Linked DNA regions of Mus musculus. The protein of the gene in region 2 purifies or fractionates together with the protein of the main gene of each other region. This does not show direct contact. Links are inferred from orthologs where the notes say so. Each region holds a gene or a part of one and is shown on either strand. Other genes may lie near its edges. The genes, in order: Chaf1b, Cbx1, Zfp280d, Adnp, Ahdc1, Zfp644 and Ehmt1.

Evidence for each region.
Region 1: the proteins of Cbx1 (region 2) and Chaf1b purify together in Homo sapiens (affinity purification with mass spectrometry; 4 studies listed by BioGRID and IntAct, with this or other methods). This does not show direct contact. The link is inferred for Mus musculus from reciprocal best matches to the Homo sapiens genes CBX1 and CHAF1B.
Region 3: the proteins of Cbx1 (region 2) and Zfp280d purify together in Homo sapiens (affinity purification with mass spectrometry; 4 studies listed by BioGRID and IntAct, with this or other methods). This does not show direct contact. The link is inferred for Mus musculus from reciprocal best matches to the Homo sapiens genes CBX1 and ZNF280D.
Region 4: the proteins of Cbx1 (region 2) and Adnp purify together in Homo sapiens (affinity purification with mass spectrometry; 6 studies listed by BioGRID and IntAct, with this or other methods). This does not show direct contact. The link is inferred for Mus musculus from reciprocal best matches to the Homo sapiens genes CBX1 and ADNP.
Region 5: the proteins of Cbx1 (region 2) and Ahdc1 purify together in Homo sapiens (affinity purification with mass spectrometry; 4 studies listed by BioGRID and IntAct, with this or other methods). This does not show direct contact. The link is inferred for Mus musculus from reciprocal best matches to the Homo sapiens genes CBX1 and AHDC1.
Region 6: the proteins of Cbx1 (region 2) and Zfp644 purify together in Homo sapiens (affinity purification with mass spectrometry; 3 studies listed by BioGRID and IntAct, with this or other methods). This does not show direct contact. The link is inferred for Mus musculus from reciprocal best matches to the Homo sapiens genes CBX1 and ZNF644.
Region 7: the proteins of Cbx1 (region 2) and Ehmt1 purify together in Homo sapiens (affinity purification with mass spectrometry; 3 studies listed by BioGRID and IntAct, with this or other methods). This does not show direct contact. The link is inferred for Mus musculus from reciprocal best matches to the Homo sapiens genes CBX1 and EHMT1.

What each region holds. Positions count from the first base shown.
Region 1 is NC_000082.6:93,890,401-93,893,900, forward strand, and holds part of Chaf1b (chromatin assembly factor 1 subunit B), read left to right. Parts: intron 1-1,099; coding exon 1,100-1,196; intron 1,197-1,713; coding exon 1,714-1,798; intron 1,799-2,331; coding exon 2,332-2,425; exon of another isoform or gene 2,426-2,499; intron 2,500-3,500. UniProt on the Homo sapiens protein: Acts as a component of the histone chaperone complex chromatin assembly factor 1 (CAF-1), which assembles histone octamers onto DNA during replication and repair.
Region 2 is NC_000077.6:96,787,782-96,791,934, forward strand, and holds the start of Cbx1 (chromobox protein homolog 1), read left to right. Parts: upstream 1-1,353; 5' UTR 1,354-1,572; intron 1,573-4,153. UniProt on the Homo sapiens protein: Component of heterochromatin. Recognizes and binds histone H3 tails methylated at 'Lys-9', leading to epigenetic repression. Interaction with lamin B receptor (LBR) can contribute to the association of the heterochromatin with the inner nuclear membrane.
Region 3 is NC_000075.6:72,319,888-72,323,387, forward strand, and holds part of Zfp280d (zinc finger protein 280D), read left to right. Parts: intron 1-2,565; coding exon 2,566-2,723; intron 2,724-3,112; coding exon 3,113-3,213; intron 3,214-3,500. UniProt on the Homo sapiens protein: May function as a transcription factor.
Region 4 is NC_000068.7:168,204,313-168,208,240, forward strand, and holds the start of Adnp (activity-dependent neuroprotector homeobox protein), read right to left. Parts: upstream 2,801-3,928; 5' UTR 2,262-2,800; intron 463-2,261; exon of another isoform or gene 288-462; intron 1-287.
Region 5 is NC_000070.6:133,060,006-133,063,505, forward strand, and holds part of Ahdc1 (AT-hook DNA-binding motif-containing protein 1), read left to right. Parts: intron 1-656; 5' UTR 657-887; intron 888-1,021; 5' UTR 1,022-1,059; intron 1,060-1,370; 5' UTR 1,371-1,444; coding exon 1,445-3,500. UniProt on the Homo sapiens protein: Transcription factor required for the proper patterning of the epidermis, which plays a key role in early epithelial morphogenesis. Directly binds promoter and enhancer regions and acts by maintaining local enhancer-promoter chromatin architecture.
Region 6 is NC_000071.6:106,694,031-106,698,221, reverse strand, and holds the start of Zfp644 (zinc finger protein 644), read left to right. Parts: upstream 1-1,391; 5' UTR 1,392-1,690; exon of another isoform or gene 1,691-1,988; intron 1,989-2,003; exon of another isoform or gene 2,004-2,424; intron 2,425-2,522; 5' UTR 2,523-2,579; exon of another isoform or gene 2,580-3,085; intron 3,086-4,191.
Region 7 is NC_000068.7:24,916,775-24,920,954, reverse strand, and holds the start of Ehmt1 (histone-lysine N-methyltransferase EHMT1), read left to right. Parts: upstream 1-1,380; coding exon 1,381-1,401; intron 1,402-1,428; exon of another isoform or gene 1,429-1,764; intron 1,765-4,180. UniProt on the Homo sapiens protein: Histone methyltransferase that specifically mono- and dimethylates 'Lys-9' of histone H3 (H3K9me1 and H3K9me2, respectively) in euchromatin.

The DNA.
Region 1 (3,500 bases), on a different chromosome or scaffold from region 2:
TGCACGTGCACACATACATACATAGTTAAGGCTCCATAACTGTGTTTCCCTTTGGTCTGGGGAAGCTCTGTGCTGCTGTCTCCTCTGCTGAGGGCCTTTGTTAGCCTGCTCAGCTCAGGCCTCGCCCAACCATCCTTCAGTTTCTGTGACCTAACTTGTCACTCTTTCTCCTCTCATATTTTCCCAACTCTGGTTTGTTTGTTTGCCTTGAAGCTCTTTGTAACCAAGGCTGGCCTTGAACCCTGGATACCCCCTACCTCCTCTTCACCTGGTGTGCACCACCAGGTCTGGCTTCAGCTCGCTCTTTGAAGCGCAGATCGTTTCCCAGCTAGCTGGTCTTGGCCTGCTCTTTGCCTACAGAGCTCTCTGACTGCAGTACCTCTCTTTCCTTCCATCTTGTTTCTGAGTCCTCCCTTTCATCTCAGCAGTTCAATGCTGCCACCATCCAGGGTCTAAGCTGCGAGTGAGGGATTCTCCTGTGCATGTCATCCCTCCCACCCCCGTCCTACCTTCTCAGGGTTGCTATTGTGAGGAGACACCATGCCCAAGGCACCTCTTATAATGGACAACATTTAATTGGGGCTGGCTTACAGTTCAGAGGTTCAGTCTGTTATCATCATGGCGGGAAGCCTGGCAGCGTACAGGCAGACATGGTGCTGGAGAGGGAGCTGAGAGTTCTACCTCTGGATCCTCAGGCAGCAGGGAGTGAACCTAGACACACTTCCTCCAACGAGACCACGCCTACTTTAACATGGCCACACCTCCTGGTAGTACCAACTCCCTTGGAGCATGTGGGGCCATTTTCTTTCAAACCACCATACTAGCCAACCCAGAGAACTAAACTGAGGGCTCTGATATTGCTCCTAATTTCTCGAACCCACACAGCCTCATGCTTGCTCTACATCCTGGCTGCCTTGAGTGCTGCAGGGGTGGGGGTGGGGCTGTGTGGAGTGATCTTTGGGTCCCCTGAGTCTGACTCGGCTTCTCTGAGGTTGCTTGCAGAGTGGCAGACAGGACGTAGGAGACAGTGCCAACATTGTGGTTCCTGCAGCGTGCTTCCTGGAAATCTTGATAATAACTTTCTCGTGCTTCTTTGTAGGGCAGAAAATTTCCATTTTCAACGAGCATAAAAGTTATGTGCAAGGAGTCACCTGGGATCCTTTGGGTCAATATATTGCGACCCTGAGCTGTGACAGGTTCGTAAGTAACATGAACGTGTTTTGCAAATGTTTTATCGCAACCTTACTAAGGGATCGATAGTCCAGCTTTGGCTTTTTTGTTTGGATCTGCTATTCTGACAAGACAGGAATTAGAGACGAATTAGGCCAGGTGCCCTGTGCAGACCTGGCACCAGTGAATCTTTACCGGATGGGTGAATTGATGTAGAAAGAACTCTTATGTTTGCCTGCATGTATGTCTTTGTACCAGGTGTGTGCCTGGTGCTCTTGGAGGCCAGAAGAGGGCATTGGGTTCCCTGGGGCTGGAGTTACAGTTGGGAGCTGTCAGTGCTGGGAACAGACTGGGCTTCCCTACAAGAGCAGTGCATGCTCATAGCCACTGGTGCATCTGTCCGCCCCGTTAGGAAGAGCTTTAGCATCAAATAAACTGAATCACACTTGACTCAAGGGGACAAGCCGCAGACTCGCAGTAGGTTGTTACTGTGTGAGACCCAGTTCCCGTGCTGGGATGGGACTCAGACTGCTCTTTCTTCAGGGTGCTGCGGATCTATAATACCCAGAAAAAGCGTGTGGCTTTCAACATTTCAAAGATGCTCTCTGGACAGGGGCCTGAAGGAGAGGTAGGAAGTACTTATCATTTTTTCATGGGTGTGTGTTTTGTGTGTGTGTGTGTGTGTGTGTGTGTGTGCCCACACGAGTATGCCTTTGGCATGTGTGTATGCATGCATATGTATGTGTGATATTCACGTTTGGGCACATGTGTGAGTGTGTGTGCAAGAATATGTGTGTGTGTTAAGAGTGCAAGTACGCATACAGGAACATGCACACACGTGTTACAGTGTGCTTCTGAAGGTCGGGAGTCAGTTCCCTTAGTGCACTGTATGGGTCCTGGGAACTCAGATCAACAGGCTTGGTAACAAGTGCCTTTTACCCTCCGAGCCATTCAGCAGCCCAGCATAAAATATCTCGCCCTTTGAGATCTGGTGAGTCTTGGGGTTGTCCTTCCTTGCCTCTGAATCACGGCACTTGCCCGACCTGCTGGCCAACTGATGAGGCTTCTCCTTGGACTGCCTTGTTGGCGTGCCAGTTCTAAGTGGTGAGCCTCTGTGGAGGGTTAGAGGCTTTCAGGTGATTTCAAGCTCTGTTACCACAGGCAAGAAGTTTCCGGATGTTTCACGACGACAGCATGAAGTCGTTCTTCCGAAGACTCAGCTTTACTCCAGATGGATCTTTGCTCCTCACTCCAGGTGTGCCTGACGGCATGTGACATAGGGGTGTGATGGCACCACAGGGACGGCTCTGTTCACTTCAGCTCCTGCAGGTGTGAGCGGAGTGGTGGTGCAAGCCTTGTACCAACCGACTACTGCATGCCATTTGTTCTGAGTCATGGTCTCGCGTAGCTCAGGCTGGTGCTGAACTCGGGTAGCTGAAGGTGATCCTCAACTTGTGATCCTCTTATCCCAGTTTCCTGAATGCTGGGATCACAGGTGTGCAGCCCAGGCCTGGCTGGGAATGTAAAACTTCCATATGGTAAAGGTGTAGCAGACTAAGTCAGTAGACACATGGTGGAAGCGCCACCTGGTGCCTTTGATACAATGTATCCTATACCTCGGCCCTCTCACTTGGCAAGAAAACAAAACACAAAAGATGAAAACCTGAAAGAAAAACTGAGGACTTAGATGAAGCTCATTAGTCAGGTGTGTCCAAGGTGTGTAAGGCTTTGGGGTCAACCCTTAGCACCACAGATAGACCAATGAGTGAAAGCAAGGTATAGATTACATCCAGGACAGGTTCTGATACCCGCCAACAGGCAAATGCAGAACTGAACTGTGTGGCAACTTAGATGTTGCTATTCTGTTCAGGTTGAAAAAAAAAGCAACAGTTCCCATTATAGCTGAGCAGAAGGTGGGTGTTGCCGCTTGGGAACGTGGCTTGTTTAGAATGCAGCCTGATAACGCCATCCAGTCCTATGCCTCACAGCTGAGACACAATTCCTTAGCAAGGAAATCAGGAATTTCTCAGTGAATCTGTCAGCTACACGTGGTAGCATTTTGCTATACTCCAACACTTGGCAGGTGGAGGTGGGAGAAGACCCAGGCCAACCTTGGTTCTGTAGTGAGTTCAAGACCAGCCTGATATGTGTGAGACCCTGGCTCAGACAAACAAATTAAAACCAAACCAATAAAATCAGTCAATCTCTCCACCCAAAACCCAAATCCCTCAAACTCCCAGATCAGCTTCTTGGCAGAGGACTGGTTTTCTGCTAGTAAATATTACAGAGTGACCAAAGCAGGGGGCCGTAGCACTGCAGAGACTGACTTT
Region 2 (4,153 bases):
TAAAGTGCTCTTAAACTCCCAGCAATCCTCCTGTCTCAATCCCGGGTACTAGGATTAAGAGGCTTGAATCTGGCCTTGGAAAGTTTGATCAGTTCTATTATCAGTTGGACATCTCAGTTATTCACTTAATCACATATTCAAGGAATTTTTACCAATAAATACTGAGAGTCAAAACGTGACCTTGTGGCCGGGCGTGGTGGCGCACAACTTTAATCCCAGCACTCGAGGCAGAGGCAGGCCGATTTCTGAGTTTGAGGCCAGCCTGGTCTACAAACTGAGTTTTGAGAGAAACCCTGTCTCAAAAAAACAAACAAAAACAAACCAACCAACCAACCAAACAAACAAACAACCAAAATGACCTTGTCCTTGCTAGAAACAAACACCAAGGATCCTGAGTGTCGTGGACACAATGAGTCATATGAAGCGTCTGTCCTTACTGGAGTTCCTAGTTCAACAATTAGCAGCAACCTACCTGAATCAGAGTAGCACCCGTGTTAAAGAATGACAGCCCAGCCGTGGTTTTTGCTTAATTCCGTTTCTTTAGACTAACTTGATAAAGGATGTTCACAGAGATGGAGAAATCCCCATGAAAGTCACCCACCGGCAAGGGCAATAAAGGGAAAACTTTGAATGTGGTGGTCTGTGTTTGTAATACTCGGCATTTGGGAAGTGAAAACAGGTAGATCAGACTTCCTTGAGACCCTGTCCACTCAACAGAACCAACAACCAAAAATAAAACAAGAATAGAGAGGGAAGGAAGGGGAAAGAAAAAAAGCAAATTCAGAAAGTGTCGATGGTGTCTACCTAGACGGTTAATCTACTGCTTTCTGAATGGAGCAGTGATTCAAACTGAGAGGTAGGAACCCCAGTCAGGTGGCAATAATAGGTAAGATTGCTGGACATTATTGAAGGTGATTTGATAAATCTCAGGTGACGAATACAATATTTTTCTTTTAAACGCAAACGGACCAAACATCAACGGGCTAGTTTCCAAACCTGCAGTGTCCTACTTTTGTAGACTGAGTAAGGAATACCAGCACGCGCCTGGAATCCAGCACTTTGACATTTGAAGCAAAAAGAAAGGCCACGAGTTCGAAGCCACCTGGGCTGCGTATCCTGTTATTAAACAAACAAACCCCACCACTACCCATCAATTTCCTAGACTGTAGAGTTATGTTCTAAGTAACAGTCGACTTCGCCTTTCCAGTCAAAAAAGAAAACAAAACTACGAAAACTCCCTACAATCCTTGAAAGTGGAGGTGGGCGGCGCGGGATTCGCGCGGTACTTTGGGATCTGTAGTTTCTGGCCGACTCTTAATCCCAAGGTGCCCTGCGGCGGGTCGTCGCGTCTGCGCAGTGCAGGCGGCGGGCCGCGCAGAGTGAGAGGCTCTTTTGTTCGGCTGAGGGGAGGGCCGTTAGCGGGGCCTGCGGTACGCCGCTTCAGCGGGACGGTCGACTTGTGGCCACACGGCTCTTTGCTCCTCTGGGCGCGCTACTCCCCTCGGACCGCCCGACGCAACGCGCGAGTAGCGCGGCACCGATTCCTCTCGGACTCTCGGGCGCTGCTACGAGGTGAAGAGGCGGGCTGGAGGCGGGGTGTGTGGGGGGAGGGGACGCGGCAACGGCGGGAGGCCGCGGACCAGCGCGGGCCGCTAACGGAAGAGCGGAGACCGAGGAATGGGGGGCGCGCCCCGGCCCAGCGCCCGCCGGGTCCGCTTCCCGCGCAGAGCTCGCGGGTTGCGGGAGTGTGGAGAGGGCGGGGCAGCGAATCCAGAGCCCGGGAGCCGAGTGGTTCGCGATGAGCGGAGCCAGCGGAGGGTTAGCTTTTCAAGAACTGGACCAAGAGCGTTTGACCCGAGTGAGGGACTCTAGAGTTGGGCGGGAGAAAGAAAACTTTGGGACGTCCATAAGGGGGACAGGTGCTTTTGGGTGTGCGTGGCAGGGACCACGACTTCGTACTCTCGAGGTTTAGAAATGTAACCTGAGAAAGCGGACACGGTGGCAATCGCAAGCAACCCCCGTAGCACTTGGAGGAAAGAGAGAAAAAGTAACCTGAGGATATTGGGTCCAGTTGCCACTATCAGAGAAGTTTCTCTTGCCAGAGTTAAGAAGAAGTAACTTCCAATAAACTTGAACAGGAGGATTTGGGCAGCTCACGGTGTGCTAGCGGGGAAGAGATTTGTTGAATCCGTCTAGGGGTGGGGGTGGGGGGTCAGGCATTTTCTTGACCTTGTCTAAAAGTGGAGTTGCTGGGATAGGTAGGGTAGAAGTCTAGAGTGACTGGTCAAATGTGGAAGAAAATAAAGGGTCCCTGGGGATGTAACTTAGTTGGTAGAATGTTTGCCTAGCCCACTGCACAGGCCTGAATTCAATCCTCTGTACCTTATAAATTCGGGCTGGGCTTGATGGCATTCATGTAGCCCTTGGGAGCGGAAACAGGACGATCAGGAGTTTAAAGCCTTGCCTGGCCACCAGGGGAGTCAAGAAAGGGTGAAAAGGCCACTTTGTGCCTTGTAATGGGTCTTCAGTGTGAGTTGGGAGGCTGTGGAAGAACACGTGTAAGGCAAGACTCATCCAATGAAAGAGATCTGTTCTTTGTGCGTAAGCCTGGGGGCCTCAGTTTACCTCTCAGGATCCAGGTAAAGGTGGAAAGAGCGAGCAGACTTCACAGAATTGCCCTCTGAGCTACAAATTAGGGAAATGGCAGGGACCCTCGAAAGCAGGTGCATGCCCACCGGCAGCGAGAATATTTTTATTTAAAAAGCAGTATAGAAATATAGAACTCATTTCGGTGTGTGGTACTGAGGACCTTGCACACATGTAAGTTATCTACCACTGAGTTATGTTCCAATACCATAAAAAGGTTTTTTGAAAAATGAGTTATGCTAGAACATAGGGTAACCTCTCCAGTTTTGTGTTAAGAATCATGTCAGCTTTTTGGAATAGTTTCAAAAGACCTAAGGTTTTCTGGTAGATGTATGGCTACAATCAAGAAATTGGTGCCTATACACTTCCTGGATGCTCTCTAGGCATATCTGGGAAGTGGTGTGTTGAAAAGAGCCCAGTTAGGCCTTGCTGCATGCACTCCTGTAATCCCAGCCAGCACTCGGGAGGTGGAGCCTGGAGCAGCAGGAGTTCAAGACCTAGGAGGAAGGAGGCTTTGCTTCTTAAGATCTGGGCAGTGAAAGATCATTTCTGGTTTCTGTTTGTTCAACTTTTTATCAATAGCTTTATGATAGATTATTTAAACCTTCCCTTCTAGGTATTTTTCTGAGCAGTTAAGAAAAGTAGAGGAGGGTTGGAGAGATGGCTCAGCGGTTAAGAGCACTGACCGCTCTTCCGAAGGTCCTGAGTTCAATTCCCAGCAACCACATGGTGGCTCACAACCACCTGTAATCGGATCTGACACCCTCTTCTGGTGCATCTGAAGACATCTACCATGTACTTATTTATAATAATAAGTAAATCTTTGGGCAGGAGCAAGTCAGGTTGGCTAAAGCAAGCAGAGATCCTAAAATTCAATTCCAAGCAATCACATGCATGCTCACATCTATCTGTACTGCTACAGTGTACCCATGTACATTAGATAGATAGATAGATAGATCCTTTTAAAAAGAAAAAGGGAAAGGGGAAAAAAACTATTGTGTGTCAGGCAGTGGCTTGATTTTTTTTTTCTTTTCTTTTTAAAAAGATTTATTTATTATATAAGTACACTATAGCTGTCTTCAGACACACCAGGAGAGGGCATCAGATCTCATTACATATGGTTATGAGCCACCATGTGGTTGCTGAAATTTGAACTCAGGACCTTCGGAAGAGCAGTCAGTGCTCTTAACCGCTGAGCCATCTCTCCACTACGATTTTTCTTTCTTTTAAGACTTATTTATTGAATGTATGTGAGTGCATTACATAAACATTCAAAAAACACCAGGAGAGGGCATTGGATTCCATTACAGATGGTTTTGAGCCACCATGTGGTTGCTGGAAATTGTACTCAGGACCTCTGGAAGAGCAGTTGGTGCTCTTAACCACTGAGCCATCTCTCCAGGTGTCCCCCCCACCTTTTTCCTGTTTTTTTTTTTTTTAAGTGGGGGGTGGGGTGTGCCATTGCATACTTATGGAGATCAGGAACAACTTTGGGGGTGGGGGTCAT
Region 3 (3,500 bases), on a different chromosome or scaffold from region 2:
TCACCTGTAAGAAGACTACTGGATGATGGTTTTTTTTTTATTTTATAGCCTAGAATTTATATTTTATTAGACAAGACTTTTCTACCCTTCGTAAAAACTTTCAAACATTCATCACAAAACTGAAAGTTTGACCTTGCCCCCTTGCTTCTCCCCGCCCCTCTTTACTTGTTTCACTGTTTGTCTTTCTCCTTTAAACAATCTGAGTTTTATAAATTAATTAAGCTATTGATAAAAACTGATTATTTTTAAATGTATATTTCAAAATAAGTTACATGCATGAGTATACTTATTTTAGATAAGTTGTACTTTAGGAGTGGATGTGGGTCAAGTTTGGGGAGAGGGTGAGAATATATTTAAAACATAGAAAACTTGATCTCCAAAAAGACAAATTAAAAGAAGATACTGTACACAAATACACATGTATATCTTTTATAGATACTAAAAGAACTTTCCAAATTAGCATTTTGTAGACCAGCAGTTATCCTCTTGGGCCCCTGAGTTTACTCACTTCTGTCTCGTGTGGCTGCTGCTAACATGATGCTCACAGGCCTCTTTGTGCATTCCAGAGCTCTTAAACTATTTCACTCCTTCAAGAACTAATGCTCCCAGTATTTTGTGTTTGGGATGTAATACTGAAGCAGCATTGAAATTGACCTCCACCACCTAGTCCCATATTCTTATTGTTACAAGATTCAGTCAGGGAAAGGTTAAATGTGTACAAGTGGGTTTCACTGTCTTTGTTAACTTCCTTGTTAAGTATACATTCTGCAATTTATTTTAGCAAAAGTGTTGTTTGTCTTTTACTTTTACGATTAGCCCATTTAATATTAGACATGAAAAATAACTTTTTCTAGGAATTATTTTAGGACATTAATTCCATTTGTTTATATTAGAATATTTAGAAAATTTAAACATATGACTTTTAGTAACATAAACTGAACATTGAAAGCTTTTACTTGGGAAATGTACCCTTAATGGTATAGTAAATACCTTGTGACAAAGGAATTAAAGATAGAGTGTTTTGTCAGTAAAATTTGGGAAGGCAAATTTTTTTTTGTTATTTTGCTTTTGTTTTTGAGATAAGATTTCATTGTATAGACTTGGCAGGCCCAAACAAAACCAAGAGATCTACCTTCTTTGATCCTGAATTGCTAGTATGTGCAAGTATTCCTGGCCTTGCAGTTGTTTATAATTTGTATAATGGTACAAAACATATCAAGATTTCCATTTGATTTCTCATACAGGTTTTTAGTTACTGCTTTCTCCCCCATTGGGTATCACTAAAAACAGATCATTGTAAGAAGTTACCATATATTGTCTTGGGAACTATGCATTCCAGTTAGGTCTTATGTAAACATTGAGAGAAATCAACTAGTTAGTTAATACATTACTTTATATAATTATACTTTAGTGCTTTAAGGGCTGAGCTCAGAATTTACTAGCTCATGCTGTTTTGCCTATATGCAAATATTTAACCAAGACTAGGTTTTTAAGTGTTTTGTAGAGCTCATGTTAAAACCAAAGGGGAGCCAGGCATTGTGGTGCACACCTTTAATCCCAGCACTTGGGAGGCAGAGACAGGCAAATTTCTGAGTTTGAGGACAGCCAGGGCTACACAGAGAAATCCTGTCTTGAAAAACCAAAAAACAAACAAACAAACAAAAAACCCCAAAGGCAAAATAAAGATCCTTCAAAGTGTATTACAATTTGTGTTGAGGAGATACTGTTCTTCAGAGACAGGAAAAAGAAGAGATAGATGTCATAGCTTTCATGGTGTCTGTTCTCTGGATTGATAACATTTTCATATAGTTTCATGCTTATTTCCTTTGAAGCCTCCAACTGGATGATATTTATTAATTTTATTGGCCCAGTCTAAATTTTCTTTTGATCAAGTAATACTACTTTTTATTTCAGCCAAAAGCTTTAGTAAGCTTTTAAAAATAGATATATTCCCATTTATACCACACTTACAAAGGTCATAGTTCTGTTGATAAGAAACCTTGTAGGGATGCTGAAATAGCAAAGTGTAAAACTGAAAAATGGATGTTGCCTTACAAAGGGCACAGTCTGCAAGTTAAAATGAACAGTTTATGCTTACTATAAACAATATCACTAAATAAATGAAAAGTTCCTTGTACTTGTAGGCATTAAAACTGTTATTATATGTACTTCAAAACAAAGATACAGGTAAGAATACTAGTAGCTAGAATTTATTGTATATCTTCAGGGTCTCAAAGAATTTCTCCCATGACTCTAGCTACTTTTGCTGACAGGATTTTCTTTCTTTCAATATTGAATTTTAAAATATAAATAGTACTTCACATGGCAAAGGAGAGTTATTTTATCTAAAAACAATCATCTGAAAGTAGTGACATTTGAAACAAAGATGGAAAAAAGTATCTACTTAGCCATTTGTGGTCATTATTTAGGACATGCAGTTTCCTAGAGAAGGACTCTAGGTTTTGAGTAATAATTCACTTTTTTTTTTTTAAATAGTGGGTTAAGATATGGTGGGATCTTCTTTGATTTTTTAATTTGAATCTCTCCGCCTGTTGCCATTTGCAGGTTTATGAACCACATGAAGCACCATTTGGAGCTCGAGAAGCAGAGCAGCGAGAGCTGGGAGAAGCACACCACGTGCCAGCACTGCTACCGGCAGTTCCCCACGCCCTTCCAGCTCCAGTGCCACATCGAGAGCACCCACACTCCTCATGAGTTCTCCAGTGAGTTACTTCTCAGGATTAAGGAAGCTCAGCAAATCTTGAGAAAACTGTTACAGAAATAAGAACAAGAAATAGACTTTGGATTTTGGGGCCAAAATTACAAAAGCTAACTTACTTCAGGCTTCAGTTCAAATCCCAGATGTTTGTCTTGGTGTAGTAGCTACATAAGTTCAGGCAGGTTATTTGGTACTGAGACAATAGGATAACAGACATGCCTTTGTGGTAGTGCTAAAAGAGGAATTGACTGAGTTATGCATGTGTATATGTATGGCTGCTTACCACCTCTAATACTGCCACTTCTGCTGACAAATTTGTTGACACTGTTATCCAAATGAGCTTTTATTATTTATATATTAAAATGTTGTAATAACTCTTCCTTTCATCTATAGCCATTTGTAAGATCTGTGAGCTATCATTTGAAACTGAACAGATTCTCTTACAACATATGAAGGATAACCATAAGCCTGGTGAAATGCCATACATCTGCCAGGTACGTCATGTTTTATAGTGTCATTAACTGTTGTTGTTTTGGTGTTAGGATTTGTAGCAGGGTTTTTGGTTTTTTTTGTTAGGACCAAACAGTAAGCATTTCATATTAGAGATACTACAGTCTCTATCACAGCTAGTCAACTCTCCGTTGTGGCAAGTCAGCAATGGCAGTAAAGGACTGCAAGGATGTATCTGTGTTCTACTATATGGATTTCAAATTTTAAATTCTATATAATTTTCATGTATAGTGAAATATATTGGTGGTGTTTGTTTTATTTTTGCCATCTA
Region 4 (3,928 bases), on a different chromosome or scaffold from region 2:
TAAGGCTTTCAGATGCTGAGCAAGTCTTGAGATAGACTACTTAAAACTTTATGTCCAAAAGTGCAGAATGCAAATGATTACAACAACATCATCGACTTTAAATTTTTCTCTTAAAAGAGACACATATTTTAAACGTTCAAAACCCATTACTGCAACCAGCTCTAACGAGTTCCTTGAGGAATGTGGCGAGGCTGAAATTTTGAAAGTTCATGTTCTGGTGGTGATCAGGAGGAAGTCTCTAGCTTTCCTGATGCTGCAGTCCCCACCCTCCAAAATGATATACCCACCGGTGTGAATTGACAATGCAGTCCAAAGAGCAAGGCAGGGAACGGAGTCCAGATCCTCAAAATGGCAGTACAGGGAATAACCACTAGGCCACCTATCAGTTCAGTACAAAAAGTGCAACCCTGTGCATCACGATGTAAAAGCTGGGGCCTAGGTTTCGTACTGTGCATCTCACACCTATGGAAATAACAACAGGAGTAAAATCTACAGAAATCCACACACCCTAAAAAGGTGGGTGCGCACCGAACCAAGACTGGTGTCAACACTTGCAAAGGCAGTTGGCTACAGACAGTGTACTGCTGAAAGTGGAAGGCAACACAATTTTGCAGTGAACTCTATTAAGTTTGACAATGAAGAACTCAATAGGGACCTGATGTTTACCAACAAAGCCTTGCAAATCCTGACACCCATCTTTCATGGCTGTCAAAATCACCAACCCATAAAACCTCTCAAGAATGACTTTCCACTCGCAAAAGAGTCGGAGAGATTTGGATTGACCTGATCTCCCAAGCCCGTGACTTTCAGGTTTTAAACAACCCCCTTTACCACCTAGCCTAGGAAAGAGATGTCAACACATCAAACCTTAAGGTGAAGGAATTCTTGAGAAAGGGAACCTATGACCCAAGGATGTGCACCAAGGTGACTGATCAGCAATCAAAGTCTGAGGGTGAACAGGTTTGAAAAAGTAAAAAAAGACAACTTTCCAAACGGAGAAGTGGCTTTCTTAAATAAAATCTCTCTAGCCTCACTTAATCCTTCGCCATGTTGCTGTCAGCTCACCCAGTGCAAGTCTTGCTGGACCCATTTTCCCATGGTCTGTAGAAGGCGCTGTTTAGCACATCCTGTTCTAGTTCTGGGGCCCTTCCCCCCTCTGCAGCCTTACCCAGTGCAGGGAATGCGCCCCCTACTGACTCCCACACTCAGTGCCTTTAACCGACTTGGCTGCAGTGCCTTTTGGGTGGGGGCTGGTATTTTCTCCATGACCATAAACCAGAAGCAACAATGCAGATTTATAAAGAAACTGCACAAAGCTATCCAAGAGACACCCCCCGACACACATCCCATTGTGAAGGTTCAAGATACAGGCACAAGAAGCATCAGGGATGGGAACTGGGCGTTTGGGGCTGGACAGCATTAAAATGGCTAACACAGGAAACAGTTTGGTTCTTTTTCCCTCCTAAGCCTTTGTCTGTGAAATGGGGTTATGACAAGAACTGTCCAGAGGACCTGGTGACTGGAAGAACACTGAGAAGACACTTGGGGTGTGTGGCAGGGAGTGAGACTAAAATGAGTATTAGACTTCTTGGAGAGAAGAAGAGAAGCAATCGCGCCTTTTCTAGCAGACAGGCATCCAGGTTGGGGGTAGGGTGGGGAAGGGAGGAGAAGGACAGGCAGCTCAGAGGAAAGAAGAGGCGAATAAGAGGGTGCTCAAAGAACTACTCCCCATTCATTGCATTCGAAAAAAATTCTTTCCGCGGCTTTCTGGATTTCCATTTTCTGACTGCAAAGTTGATCAGAAAGCTCTAAAGAGGGAGTGCTGACCAGGTAGCCCAGATTGAAAGCAGGGCCGGTGAGGGGCTGTGGTGGTTAGGATGGGAGGGAAACTGGCATGTTGTTGGGGAGGCAAAGACTTTCACCCTCTGCCATGCACGCTCCCCGCCCCCCAGGCCTTTCCCCCCTTTCCAAGCCTAGGGTGGGCAGACCTGGCAGAAGGCTGGTTCCGGGGACTGGGGGAGGGCGGGAGGGGATTAGTTCTGAGGACGAGAGAGCGAGCGGGGTTCGGCTGGGGGCGGGGTGGGTGCGGGAAGATGCCACTAGCCGCAAAAGCCCATGGTGGCCGGCCGGCAGCCCCGCGGGGCGGAGAAGGGGATCGGGCTGCAGGAGGGCTGCGGCCGACTGGGGTTCGAGGCGGTGTGTGCACGCCGAGCACAATGACCGCGCCCGGGATCGGCGGCGGGCAGGGCCGCGGGGCTTACCTTGGCTCGGCCTCGAGGCGTGCGCGGGGCCGGCGTGCTCTAGAGCACGGCGGCGGGTGGACGGCGGCACGGCGATGGCGGCGAGGACGCGCCCGGGGCCTCGTCGCGCTCGGGCTCCGGCTCGAGCCGCGGCCGCGGCTGCTGCCGGGGGGCGCGGCGGGCGCAGCAGAGCGGCGGGCGGCGGCGCGGGCAGTGCAGACAAAGGAGGGGCGGAGGGCGGCGGAGGGCGTGGGGCCGCGGCTTCACCGTCGCGGGCGGGCAGGCGGGCGGCGACGGCCGCGCGGCTCCTCGGCGGCGGAGACCGAGAGAGGGAGCTGTGGCTGAGGCGACGCCAAATCCCCCCCGAGCGAGCGCGGCTGGAGGGGGAGGGGGCCAAGATGGCGGCGGGCGGGCGCTCAGCTCATGGGTCCCGGCGGCGGCGGGTAGACCGGACGGGTGGCGGCGGCGGCGGCGGGCGGGGGAGGGGGCTGGTCCCGCGTCTCCCCTCAGCAGACAATACAAGCGCCTCAGAGCAAGTCCCCGAACCTGCCCTAGCCAAAATGGCGGCCGAGAAAGAGCGGAAGTGACGTAAGCGACTCATTAGCATAAGAGGACTCATTGTCCAGCTGGGGGGGGGCGGGGGCCATGGACCCCCTACTCGGCGACCCCCCCCCAAGGGAGAGCTCTTCGGTCCTCGGCTGCGGCGACACCCACTTTCCTTATGGCAGGGTGGCCCCAGCCCCCCCCAGCCTCTCCTGGGTGAGATTATATAATCCCCACTGAGGGGAGCTCTCGCGAGAACGTGGAGGCTTTGCCATTGCCCCACTAGGAGGCGCCGTGGATAATGGCCGCACTGCGCTCCTGGGTGCCTTCCTCTGACCGCAGCGCCGCCGGCGGAGGCAGAAGTAGCGGGCCGCAGCACGCCTCGACAGTCAGTCAGGTGGCTGCACTGGGGATCCCTGCGCGGGCCCATCTGGGCCTGAACTACATCTGGCAGGAGGGCGCCTGGGGCTGCCCAAGGCCCACGTGCTCAGAGTCAGCTCTCCCAAGCTGGAGGCAAAGCCAAGGGTTGAGCCTGCTGCCTCCTGCCTTTAATGAGGTGTGATGCCCTCGTGTTCCTCCCATTTTTTGAGATGACACAGCTCTGAGGCCATGTCAGCTCTTCTAGTGAACTGGTATGGGATAGACAGGGACTCAGCTTTTCACTTCTGCTGTTCCTTGGACTCAAGTCATTCCTTCAAGTCATCAGATGGCCACTTACCATTGACTCAAGGAAAAAAAAAGTGGGATTTGTAGAGTTGAGGCCATTGGATTGTCAATGGCTAAGGATGAAAACGGTCTGGCACTCACCCACAATTCTGGTATGTGACAGCACCTGCACTGTTGGCTTTGTAACTTTGGATCATCCCCAACCAACATACCATGTCAACATCAACAGCCTCGGTCCACTTTAAAGGAACAGTAGTTACCCTACCGTAGATAAGGATGGCTAAAAGCTCTACAAAGTAGCAAGTGCAGTTGTGAAGGATTGGCCACCCCTCCCCCAACATGAGGTCTCTACAAAGTTGCAAATTTTGAAAGAATCAGACTATATATACAGACAGCTCAGTGTCTAAGGGTTTGGTTGGGAAGTTGAACAAACTTCCACCTAACATTTATTTTTTGCAATTATTAGAACATATATTTAA
Region 5 (3,500 bases), on a different chromosome or scaffold from region 2:
GACTGGGCTGGATGTGGGCAGTAGGAAAGGCAGAACTTCATAGACTAAGGAAGGTTGAGGGGCGCAAGAAAAGGCCCCTTTCTATATTCTTGCCACTGTTTCTCCCTCGGCGTCATTGTTGGATCTAGAAAAGAATAAAAAAAAAAAAAAACTTGATGAGAGCCAGACATGGTGGCCCATGCCTGCAGCAGCCCCTGTTCACTGCAGAGCTGTTGCAGACTCACAGAGCTTGATTCAGCAAGCGACGGGGCAGATAGGCTTGCCTTCCTGGGGCTTGGAACCCTTACTGGATGGCTTCTTTAAAGATGGGCAGGATAATTGATCTGTGAATGGCAGGGAGGTTAGATGAGATAATCCATTAAAGTGCTTGGTGCTGGCAGCAGTAAAGTGTCCCAAAGCCTTTATAGTCACCTTCCTGGTGACTCCCAGGCCCTTGGTCCCAGGCACTTTCTTCACTTGTCTATGCACCTCTTGCTTAATTCACCGATTCCTAAGTCAGGTAGGGCTTTGCCTGTTCAATGTCTGACTATCAAGGCCTTGTACAAAGTAGATATTCCATAAATAGTGAACATGTGAATGAATGAACCAATGAGTGAATGATATTAGTTCATGTCTGAGCCTCCATTTCTTCATCTGCAAAATGGGGTTATTAATAGCCCCTACCTCACAGGATTGGTATGAAGAATCAAATGAAGCAATGCCTGGACAGCTTCCAGCCCAGTGCCTGGCGTGCAGTAGGTGCTCACTAAACCTGAGCTACGGTGGTCCTTTCCAGGCGCTGTCCACACCCCAAGGCCTGGGCTCAGGCCGAAGTTGCTCCACAACACCCCCAGCTGACAGCCATCGACTGGCAGAGTCCCCAAGCACGGGGGCCCTCTGTTTACCAGGTCAGTCAGGAGGAAGCCCTGAGGGAGCTGGGGTGGCATCTGGAAAGCTGTGGGGCTGTGTCTGGGTAGCAGGGTTAGTGTGGATCCTGAACCATTCGGGGAATTGAGCTCTGATCATGTCTTGTTGCCCACAGAGATAACCAGTGTGACGGCCCAGGCGGCAGAGCCGAGGGTGAGTACAGCCTGAGGAGCAAGGGTGAGGAGGAGCGGCATCGTGGTGAATGGGTCTTCCCAACCTTCTTCAGTTTTGTGTCTAGTGTTATGTGGAGTGGTCATCTTGCCCTGCTACCAGGTCTCCCTCGCCAAGATATGGGGATCTTGTCATCTCTAACCCCATAGCCTATAGAAGTGGGTCAGTTGCCCCTGGGTGCTGAGGCCCATGAGGAGTTCAGTATGTACACATGACAGAAGACCAGAAAGGTTCAAGGGCCCCTAAGGATGTGAATGCTAGGTGAAGAACTCTTGCCTCTCTTTCCTTGGCAGGTTCTGGTCCCGGCTTCTCGCACCCTCATGTCAGCCCTGGCCCCGCCCGGCGGCCCGAGGAGGACAAGGTCAGGATGCGTGTGAAGCCCCAGGGCCTGGTGGTGACTTCCAGTGCCGTGTGCAGCTCTCCTGACTACCTCCGAGAGCCCAAGTACTACCCCGGCGGCCCCCCAACCCCCCGGCCCTTGCTTCCCACCCGGCCCCCTGCCAGCCCACCTGACAAGGCCTTTTCCACCCATACCTTCTCTGAGAACCCACGCCCACCCCCTCGGCGGGACCCCAGCTCCCGCCGTCCACCAGTCCTTGCCAAGGGAGACGACCTGCTACCTCCTCGGGCAGCCCGGCCTGTCTCCCAGGCCCATTGTCCCTCACCGGCTCCAGACAACAGCTCCCTCCGCCACTGGGACAACGGGCGTGTGAACCTGCGTCCAGTAGTGCAGCTGATTGACATCATGAAGGACTTGACAAGGCTGTCGCAGGACCTGCAGCACAGCGGTGTGCATCTGGACTGTGGAGGGCTTCGGCTGAGCCGCCCACCCGCTCCGCCACCCGGCGACTTGCAGTACAGCTTCTTCTCTTCGCCCAGCCTGGCCAACAGCATCCGCAGCCCCGAGGAGCGTGCTAACCCTCACACCAAGTCAGAGCGGCCCAGCCACCCTCTCTATGAACCTGAGCCCGAGCCCAGGGATAGTCCCCAGCCTGGCCAAGGCCATGGTCCTGGAGCCGCGGCCACAGCCACTGGTCTGCCCCCCGAGCCCGAGCCAGATGGGCCTGATTACTCTGAGCTGGCAGATGCCGACATCCTCAGTGAACTGGCCTCCCTCACTTGCCCTGAGGCCCAGCTCCTGGAGGCTCAAGCCCTTGAGCCGCCTTCACCACAGCCTGAGCCGCAGCTTCTGGACCCCCAGCCCCGCTTCCTAGATCCACAGGCACTAGAGCCTCTAGGAGAAGGTTTGGAGCTACCACCCCTGCAGCCCCTTGCTGATCCCCTGGGGCTGCCGAGCCTGACCCTGCAGGCCCTAGATACCCTACCTGATTCCTTGGAATCCCAGCTCCTTGACCCTCAGGCCCTGGACCCCCTGCCCAAGTTGCTGGATGTCCCCGGTCGACGTCTAGAGCCCCAGCAATCCTTGGGCCACTGCCAACTGGCTGAGCCCTTACGCCTGGACTTGTGCTCACCTCATGGTCCCCCTGGGCCTGAGGGCCACCCCAAGTACGCCTTGAGGCGCACTGATAGGCCAAAGATCCTGTGTCGCAGGCGGAAAGCCGGAAGGGGCCGGAAGGCGGACTCAGGACCTGAGGGTCGCCTGCTTCCTCTTCCCATGCCTACAGGGCTGGCAGCTGCCCTGGCCGAGCCCCCACCGCTGCCACCGCCACCACCTCCTACTCTGTCAGGCCCAGGCCCAGTTCCCGAGCTGGAGCCAGAGTCTTCTCAAACCCCGATGGTCCCCACCCGCAAAGGCAAGTGCAGGGGTGTGCGGCGCATGGTGGTGAAGATGGCCAAGATCCCCGTGTCACTGGGGCGGAGGAACAAGACCACGTACAAAGTTTCATCCTTGAGCAGCAGTCTGAGTGTGGAGGGCAAGGAGCTGGGCTTGAGGGTGTCGTCAGAGCCCACCCCACTGCTGAAGATGAAGAACAACGGGCGGAATGTGGTGGTCGTCTTCCCGCCAGGTGAGATGCCCATCATTCTCAAGCGCAAGCGTGGCCGCCCTCCCAAGAACCTGCTGCTGGGTCCCGGGAAGCCCAAAGAGCCGACAGTGGTAGCTGCTGAGGCTGCTACTGTGACAGCGGCCACCATGGCCATGCCTGAGGTGAAGAAACGCCGGCGACGGAAACAGAAGCTGGCGTCTCCGCAGCCATCGTATGCAGCAGACGCCAATGACAGTAAGGCTGAATATTCTGATGTCCTCGCCAAGCTGGCCTTTTTGAACCGCCAGAGTCAGTGTGCTGGGAGGTGCTCGCCACCCCGCTGCTGGACACCCAGTGAGCCTGAGTCCGTGCACCAGGCCCCGGACACTCAGAGCATCTCTCAGTTCCTGCATCGTGTGCAGGGCTTCCGGAGGCGTGGAGGCAAAACAGGAGGCTTTGGAGGTAGGGGTGGAGGCCACGCAGCCAAGGCAGCCCGCT
Region 6 (4,191 bases), on a different chromosome or scaffold from region 2:
ATGTGCCCTGAAGTATGCAAGGCTTGGTTCCAGGTGATAGGCCTTTGAGTTCTGCAGGTTAACAGACCTGGTGGGTCAGGAGACATGGCTCACTGGCCAAGAGTACCTTATGTGCTTGCTGGGGACTCAGGATCAGGTCCCTTGTGATATTTCCACATGATGGCCTGTCATTTGCAGCTCCAGTTTCAGGTCCTTCCTGAGGCTCATTTGGACTCTGTGGTACCAGGCATGAAGCATGCGGTGCACAGCCATACATTCAAGCAAAACCCAAACTCATGAGATGAGAATAAGTCTCTAAAGTGCATCTCCTCCAAGCAGTTGGCTGAAAATGGACACAGATTTATTTGTTGTGTATCTATCTATTCGTATATATGAAGGAAAGCTTTCATTTTGAAACAGCTCAACAGTCTAATCTCTCTTTGCCACTTTAGGTTGTAATGAACTTGAACAGGTGACAAGAATGCCTGACACACACACAGCATGAACTCTAGTTGTCAGCAGTTACTAGCAAGCGAAATAATTAGAGTGGATAGTGAAATGTTCGTTCTTTGGGATACATTTGCTGCTTCTGAAGGCACCGTTTTTCAGGAAAGATACTCCCATTCTTGACAAATAAATGTAATTATGGTGTATTCCTGTGAATGTTAATAATATCTCGAAGGCTTGGAGGTGCATAGTTCATGATTACTGCTTAACTACTAAAAAACGTTTTAAAGTTTTTCATGAGAAAAAGTTCAGCGAAACCAAAGAATTTAGTAAGGCAGGCCCATCAGAGTATTCTAGAACGTTTAGCTCACCTTCAACAGGTTAGGAACTTGTTGACTCGGTTCAAAAGCAAAGCGAATACCTCTAATTAGTGCGCTGCTTCCCTCAGAAGCCCATGGCTGAATGCTTGTTAAAAGGGAGATTTAGAAGACCCTCTGGGGAATCTATTGATTACCTGAAGAGTTAACCAGCATTTCTGACGTCTCTTTGCATGACTCCAATTTGGACAATCAAGGCATGTTCCTTAGTGCAGAATCTGCCCTTGCAGAGTCCAAGGAACCCAAATCCGGGCCTTCTTTTTGGGTGTCTTGTCTGGGTAACTGAATTTCTATACCTGATGCTTTTGCCACCTGGCCTGTTTAACATCATAAAACCTGTCTGTGCCAGTTCTCCAAGGTAGGCCTGATATATGTTGCTGGTTCTTTCAACAGCTGGAAAAGGGAACAGGTTTTTGGCAAACTAGCGATTGCAGACACCAGAGATGGGCCTATTCCACCTTAAAGGGCCTAGGCATTCCTGGTACTTGGGTCTTGCAGAGTTTGGTCGCCACCATATTTGGAGCGTGCCTACTTTGGGGCGGGAACCTCCTCCGGAGTGGTTAGGTCACCGCTGGGGGAGGTGACCTTGTTTGGTTTTGGCACGGGAGAGCAGCGGTGCAGCGTTGCTGCCGCCCCCCGTGGGTCTGATTGGCACGGGAGCTCCGGCGGCCCGAGAGCACGGGCGCGCCTCGCTGGCTTCCCCCGGCGGCCGGCGGCCAGGCAGAGGCGGGAAAGCCGCGCGCCTGCGCCGTGGGAACCGAGGCCGGAGGCGAGAAGCGGGGAGCGGAGGGGGCCGTTGGAGCCGAGTAGCGTACAGAGCGGCGTGTGACGCGGGGACGCCGCGCGCTCCCAACGTCGCCCCGGTTTGACGCACACGGCACCAAACTGTGAGTTTCGGGGGTCTTATTCGGTCGGATTAGCCCCGGCCCCGGCCGCGTTTCGGACGTCCGGGCTGAGGCGGTGGCGGGACTGAGGGTGGCGGAAGAAGTTGTGGGGGGACCCGGCCCGCGGCGCTCGGGCCCGGGGAGCTACGCCCTAGGCTGGCTCCCAACCCTCGGAAAGGACGCGTTTTGCCGCACAGGCTAAGATGGCGGCTGCTGCCGAGGAGGCGGAGTTGCTGCTGCACAAGGAGCCCGGGCCGCGGGGTCCGGGAGGCGGCGGTCGCGGGGGGCCGCGGAACCTTAGGTGAGCGGCGGCGGCCGCCGCGGGGCGGGACTCGGAGGCGGGCGCGCGGGGCGGGGGGTGCCTTTCCGCTGCGGCGGCGGCGGATCCGGTGGCGGACACAAAGGGGCCGAGCCGGGCTCTGGACTCGGGGGGTTTTGTTTAGTCACATGTAGCGGAGCAGCCAGTGAGCGGTAGGGGGAAGGGGGCCGAGACCCGGAGGTCCGGGGAGCCCTGCGGTCGCCATTGTAACTCCCCGAGTAACGGGGGCGGTCCGAGAGCAGTCAGGCGGCGCCCCGTGCGCGGCTAGGCTACTCTGTCCGGGCCTGTAGCCCCGGCCCTGGAGGTAACTGTCCACACCCCTCCCCTGACTTTGGGACCAGAGCGCATAGCCTTCCCCTTCTTCCCACTGGTCTGCAACATCTTGTGCCGCTAAGTGCCTGAGAAGTAACTCCAAGAGGTAAAAAAAAAAGAAAAAAAAAGAAAAAAAAACACTCGAAGTGTTTGGGTGGCCACGGGGCTTGGTGGGTATCTAGCTAAAGCTTTTTGCCTCTCCAGGTCTGATTCCCTGGCCTTTGTGTCCCTGGGAGCTTAATCTCTGCCAGAGGAAAGCAGGTGTGTGCTCCGTCCACTCCTCCCGAGAACATGAAGATGAGTTGTCCCAGACCCTTCCCCGTGATTGGAAACTTAGGTGGTTTCTTGTTGCGAGACTTCCACAGACGACTCTCGTGTTGGGATCCATCCATGGTTTAGCGACATTAGTGGAAAAGTTCTCTTCAACTGTTAAAATAATACTGACTTAAATGTAGTTGTTATAAAACTTTCGTATTAGCTTTCAAATTTTATGTGATAAAACTCAACGAGGGGATGCCCACGGCTTGTGGCCCTGAAATGATGTTGGTCCTGTTGTGTGCACAAGTTAATTTCCACAGAAGTATCCAAACACCATCACGTGTTGTGGCCAGTCCTGACTGATGCCAAGTTTACTGCATCTGGGAGATGTGTTGGATTTGCCTTAATCGTGTTGTAGTTTAGTTAATTTTGGCCCCACGAAGGAAAGTGTTTCAGAACCTAAACAACTAAAGTTCCCCAGATCAAGAAAACCTGCTTCAGGGCCATGTGTAAGTATCTAGGGAACTAGGTGTCAGCTATACAGCTGTACCTTATTTCCAGTAGGTTTGGTAAGAAAGAAATGGAGATTCTATATTGAAGTTATAATTCAGTGTAGACCTTTAAACTGGTGAAACCTGAGTGCTTGACTGGTACTAATGCAGTTTGTATGTTGCTGTTGAAAATATGGCTGTAAAAAGTTTTAAGTACTTTATATTGTGTTTGCATCATGCATTGTATTTCAAGTAATACTGAAGTGTGAATTCCAAAAGAGCTGGTGCCTTGTATGTGCCATTAATATAATCACATGAAGGAATATTACACCTTTAGATCTTTGAATTTTTTTTTTTTTCTTTTTTTTTTTTCTGAGACAGGGTTTCTCTGTATAGCCCTGGCTGTCCTGGAACTCACTTTGTAGTCCAGGCTGGCCTCGAACTCAGAAATCTGCCTGCCTCTGCCTCCCAAGTGCTGGAGTGCTGGGATCAAAGGCGTGCACCACCACCGCCCAGCTAGATCTTTAAACTTTTTAACATTACTTAAAACTTTAGTTTTCCTCGTTTCTTAGCTTTCTTTCAAATACAGAGAAGTTTTGTATTAGGAGGCAGGAGATATGCTAACAATCAGATGTGTCCCCTGGATCATACAGTATTAGAAAGGAAGATGGCCAAGAGCTACTGTTCTTACTCATGGCCTTAGCCCTGTAGTGAGCGAGTTAATGCTGGGATGGAAGACGGTCTCTAACTCCTACCCTAGTTCTAGTTTTGTTAGCACCTGGTAGTGGTTTTAAAAACAAGGGGCATTACTGAGCATACCCGTTAATTAAAGTGTCATTAGTGAGACCTTCTGAGACAATACATTTAATGTTATGTAATTTTTAGCAGTGCTGCTTATGTATATATTTTGAGCACTTTCCAACACTGACATGACCCAGAAATGTAAAAGTTAAAAACAAGGAACATGCTTGATAACTAATCTTGGAAAGTTGGAGATAATTGCTGTTACTGCTGCGAAAGTCCAAGGAATGTTGAAGGCCACGCTAGTATCTCTCACTTGGTAATGCCATTTTGTTGGATAAACACATAGGCCTCTCACACTACTATTTAAGTGACTTTTTAAG
Region 7 (4,180 bases), on a different chromosome or scaffold from region 2:
ACCTAGTGCTGGAATTAAGTTAGAGGTGCATGTCACCGTATTTGGCTGTGCTGGTGACTTTACTACTGTGTTCCATCTTGGGAACACATCCCATAATTTGTGCCTTAATACCGCCCCCTTTAAAAATTTTTTTTTTTAAATTTTTTGGTTTTCGAGATAGGGTTTCTCTGTGTAGCCCTGGCTGTCCTGGAACTTTGTAGACCAGGCTGGCCTCGAACTCAGAAATCCACCTACCTTTGCCTCCCAAGTGCTGGGATTAAAGGCGCGTCCCACCACCGCCCGGCATACCTCCCCCTTTTTAAATTTTACGGTACTGCCTTTCAGAAGTCTTCTTATAGCCTCAATGCTTCTGGCATAATGTGTGCTCATCACTGGAACACATTTTTCATATCCTTAATCAACAAATACAACTCTTTTCCATTTTAGCACTTATGCCCTATGGCTGGAACTTTTGGAATGTGAAGTTCAACAGCAGAACTAGCATAGATTTCTTTTACAATTTCATCGGAAGTGAGTTCTTAGCGTTCTTCTCTTGGCTACCCCATGTTTCAAACTTGTTTATTGCCCGGCAGTGGTGGAGCATGCCTTTATTTAATCCCAGCTCTTGGGAGGCAGAGGCAGGCAGATTTCTGAGTTCAAGGCCAGCCTGGTCTACAAAGTGAGTTCCAGAACAGTCAAAATTATACAGAGAAACCCTGTCTCTAAAAAAACCAAAAAGAAAAAAAAAAAAACCCAAAAGAAAAACAAAACAAAAAAACCTTGTTTATTGAAATCTTCTGCCTTTCCGCTTAAAGGGAGCACTTTATGGTTCTTTAGGATTTTGGTAAGGTCTCATCACCTTCCCTGCATTTTGGGGGTCACTAATAAATAGAATAAGGATTGTCAGGACTCAAGTTTATAGTGTGGAAACCCAGTGGGACGTTGACAGTCAGCAAGTCAGTAGTAGCTCGTAGTGTAAACAAGTGGTACAAAAGGGTGGTCAGCCAGCACCCAGCGGAACCAAGCGGAAACTCGATTTCCTAGGCTCACTCAGAACGGCACATAACTTTGAAACGTAGGGATACCTTATTTCTGAAACTTTCCAAGTAATATTGGTGGACTGCAGGTAAATGAGAGAGAGCGAAACCAAAGAAACGGGAAACAGAGCAGCTCCTTTTGGTGACCTCTCAGCTCCAGGAGCCCAGGTTGAATTTCAGCGCGCAGGCGCCACCTGGCCTCGCCTCCAGACGCAGGCGCCGCACGGGTGGGTCCCGGTGCGCAGCCGCGGGTGCTCACGCAGGCGCAGGAGTGGCCGGCCAGCCCCGCCCCGGACCTAGGCCGCGAGGCGCGGGCGGGGCGATGGCGCGCGGGAGGGGCGGGGCCACGCTGCGGGCCCGGGCCATGGCCGCCGCTGATGCTGAGGTGAGGTGCGGGGCCGGCTGTCGGCGCTGGGCTGCAGGCCACGGCTGTGATTGCAACAGCCGCGGCGAGGGGACAGGAACCCAAGCGAACCACGAGCTGGGTGGGGCCGCGCGCCCCCGCTGCATCGGGCCCGGCTGCGCGGAGGCCCCAGCGTCCGGCCCGTGCTCCGCCGGAGCGCTTTGTGCACGGCGGGCCCGAGCAGCAGCGGCGGCGGCGGCGGTGGTGGCGGCGGCAGTGCGGTGGCGGACGGTAGGAGGCCGCGGCTCCGCATCCCGAAGCCCGGAGCTTGACCGCGGCCGGGTCGGAGCGGGGGTGGCGGAGACAAAAGGCAAAGTGGACCGGGCCAACTTGTGCGCGCCGGAGGTGAGGCGGGCCTGCGCCTGCTGCCCCGCTCCGTGACCTTTCACTCGCCGCGAGAGCGTGGCACCATCTTTAAGGAAAAGTTGGCCGGTCCCGCGCGCCTCCCGCGCACAAAGCCGCTGCAGCAGGGTGACCACGGGCAGCACGCTCGACAGAGGAATGTCTGCGGACCCAAGTTTATTTCTTCACCAATGGCACTAAAGCGGCGGGAGACGGCGAATTAGCGGTCTTTTGTTCGCGTGGTGGCTTTCCCTCTGCTCTTTCTGCGGGATAGTTTGCTTCCTGGTTTTTGCGGCGTAGACGTTATGGCCGGGAGAGAGGGACCGCTGTCTTCCCGGAGCTGGGAAGGGCCGGCAGGAGTCCGGGGTCCTCAGAACGCACTAGAGTTGTGTTCGTAGGGTCGAAGTACGGGGCCGATTTGGAAGAAAGTATAACCTAACGTTTTTCTCCAAAATTTGCAGAGGGAATACTTAGCTTTTGGGATTTCCAGACCTCAGAAAGTGAAGGTGTATTGAGAAGCTAGCACATACGGTGCATTGGCTTAGCAGTACATTTTACCTCATAGTGTATGGTCCTTGTGTTTCTTTCTTCATTCTCGCCTTTTTGAGGGGTATTCGTATAAGTGAATGGCTAGTTTTCAGATCTAATGGAAGGAGGATTTGTTGAGTACTTGGAACGTTCAAGAACTGACTTTGGCACCAAGAACACAAATGTATATGAGATAATCTAAGTCATTTCCAGGAGTGTAAGGAAGGAGATACATAGTGAATCTCAATCATTTATCGAGCATTTATGTTTCTGGTGTTGTTTAAACCCCTCTGAGGGGTTATCCCATCCAGGTTGTATAATGTCTCGTGCAGCAAGTATTGTTATTTCCTATTTAGGAGATGAAGACAATAAGACTTTGCAGGGGTTAAGTAACTTTGCTTGATCAGTTGTAGGCCTGGCTATTTTTCTTTTTAAAGACTTATGTATACGAGTGCTCTATTTGCATGTATGCCTGCATGACAGAAGAGGACATTCAGTCCCATTAAAATGATTGTGAGCCAATGCGTGGTTGCTGGGAATTGAACTGAGGACCTTTGGAAGAGTAGCCAGAGTAGCTCTCTTAACTGCTGAACTGTCTCCCCAGCCCCCAGCTTTGCCATTTTTCAGTGCTAGACACATAGTTGGTGTTTATTCTGATTGAAGAAGCTGAGTGTGGTAGTGCCTGCTTGTTATCCTAGCACTTTGGAGGCCGAGGCAGGAGGATTGCATGTTCAAAGCTAGCCTGGTTGTAGCTTATTTCAAACCTGCTCCTCTCACTCTCAGAAAAGGGTGGGTGTCAGTGGTCTCCAGTTTCTTTGATTTTACAGGCAAATTACATAGATTGTGTGTGGGGTGAGCTTGTGCCTGGTCCCAGCCCCACTGTAGGCATTTTGTGCATACTGTAGCCTGTAAACATGACAGTAGTCTTACCAAGTAGGTTCTCTGGTATCCCTTTGCAGGCAAGGCAAAAGGCACATAGCCCCAGGATTACAAAGGGTTTGATGCATTAGAAGACACAGGCTGTTTCTACAAAGCCCATGCTTACAAAACCATGACTTATACCTGTGTGGAGTTGTGATTTTAAGTGTTATCCTTGAAGTACATGACAGGTGTACTTATAAGTACACAGCTCTTATACAGTACTGTGGAATTGGATCAGCATGGCTTCATCCTCATTGATTCTTGAAATATTTACTGGTTAGGGTTCACAAATTGTGGAATGATTTAACCCAGGAGAGGTGACACTTGAAACTTACCTAAATCCCCATCTTCCCTCTACCCCAACCCCCAATACCTTTTCACACTAAGAACTACTTAGGTAGTGGAGAGGTTTATTCATGTGTCTCCTATTCTCTAGTTTGCAGGTTGGTGTGGGCTCCTCCACTTCTTGGGTTTAAATGTATGTCCCAGTCACAGGATCAGACTGTGTCTGATACATAGGGCTTTCTTTTTCTTTTTTTTTTTTTTTAAAGATTTATTTATTTATTATATGTAAGTACACTGTAGCTGTCTTCAGACACTCCAGAAGAGGGAGTCAGATCTCCTTATGGATGGTTGTGAGCCACCATGTGGTTTCTGGGATTTGAACTCAGGACCTTCAGAAGAGCAGGGTGCTCTTACTGGCTGAGCCATCTCTCCAGCCCCACATAGGGCTTTTGTCTCAGCAAAAATGTTATCATATAGCAGGAGGGCCTTCCAAAACAAAATCTGTACTTAATAGGGTGGCTAATATGTATCTTTTTATTAAGATTTTTAAAATTACTTAATTTTTTGTGCACGAATTTTTTGCCTTTATGTATAACGTTATGTGTATGAATGTTTTACATTTTGTATTTCCGGGTCAGGTGTCAATGGAGGCAGTGAAACCGTGGAACTGGAGTTAGGGTGGTTA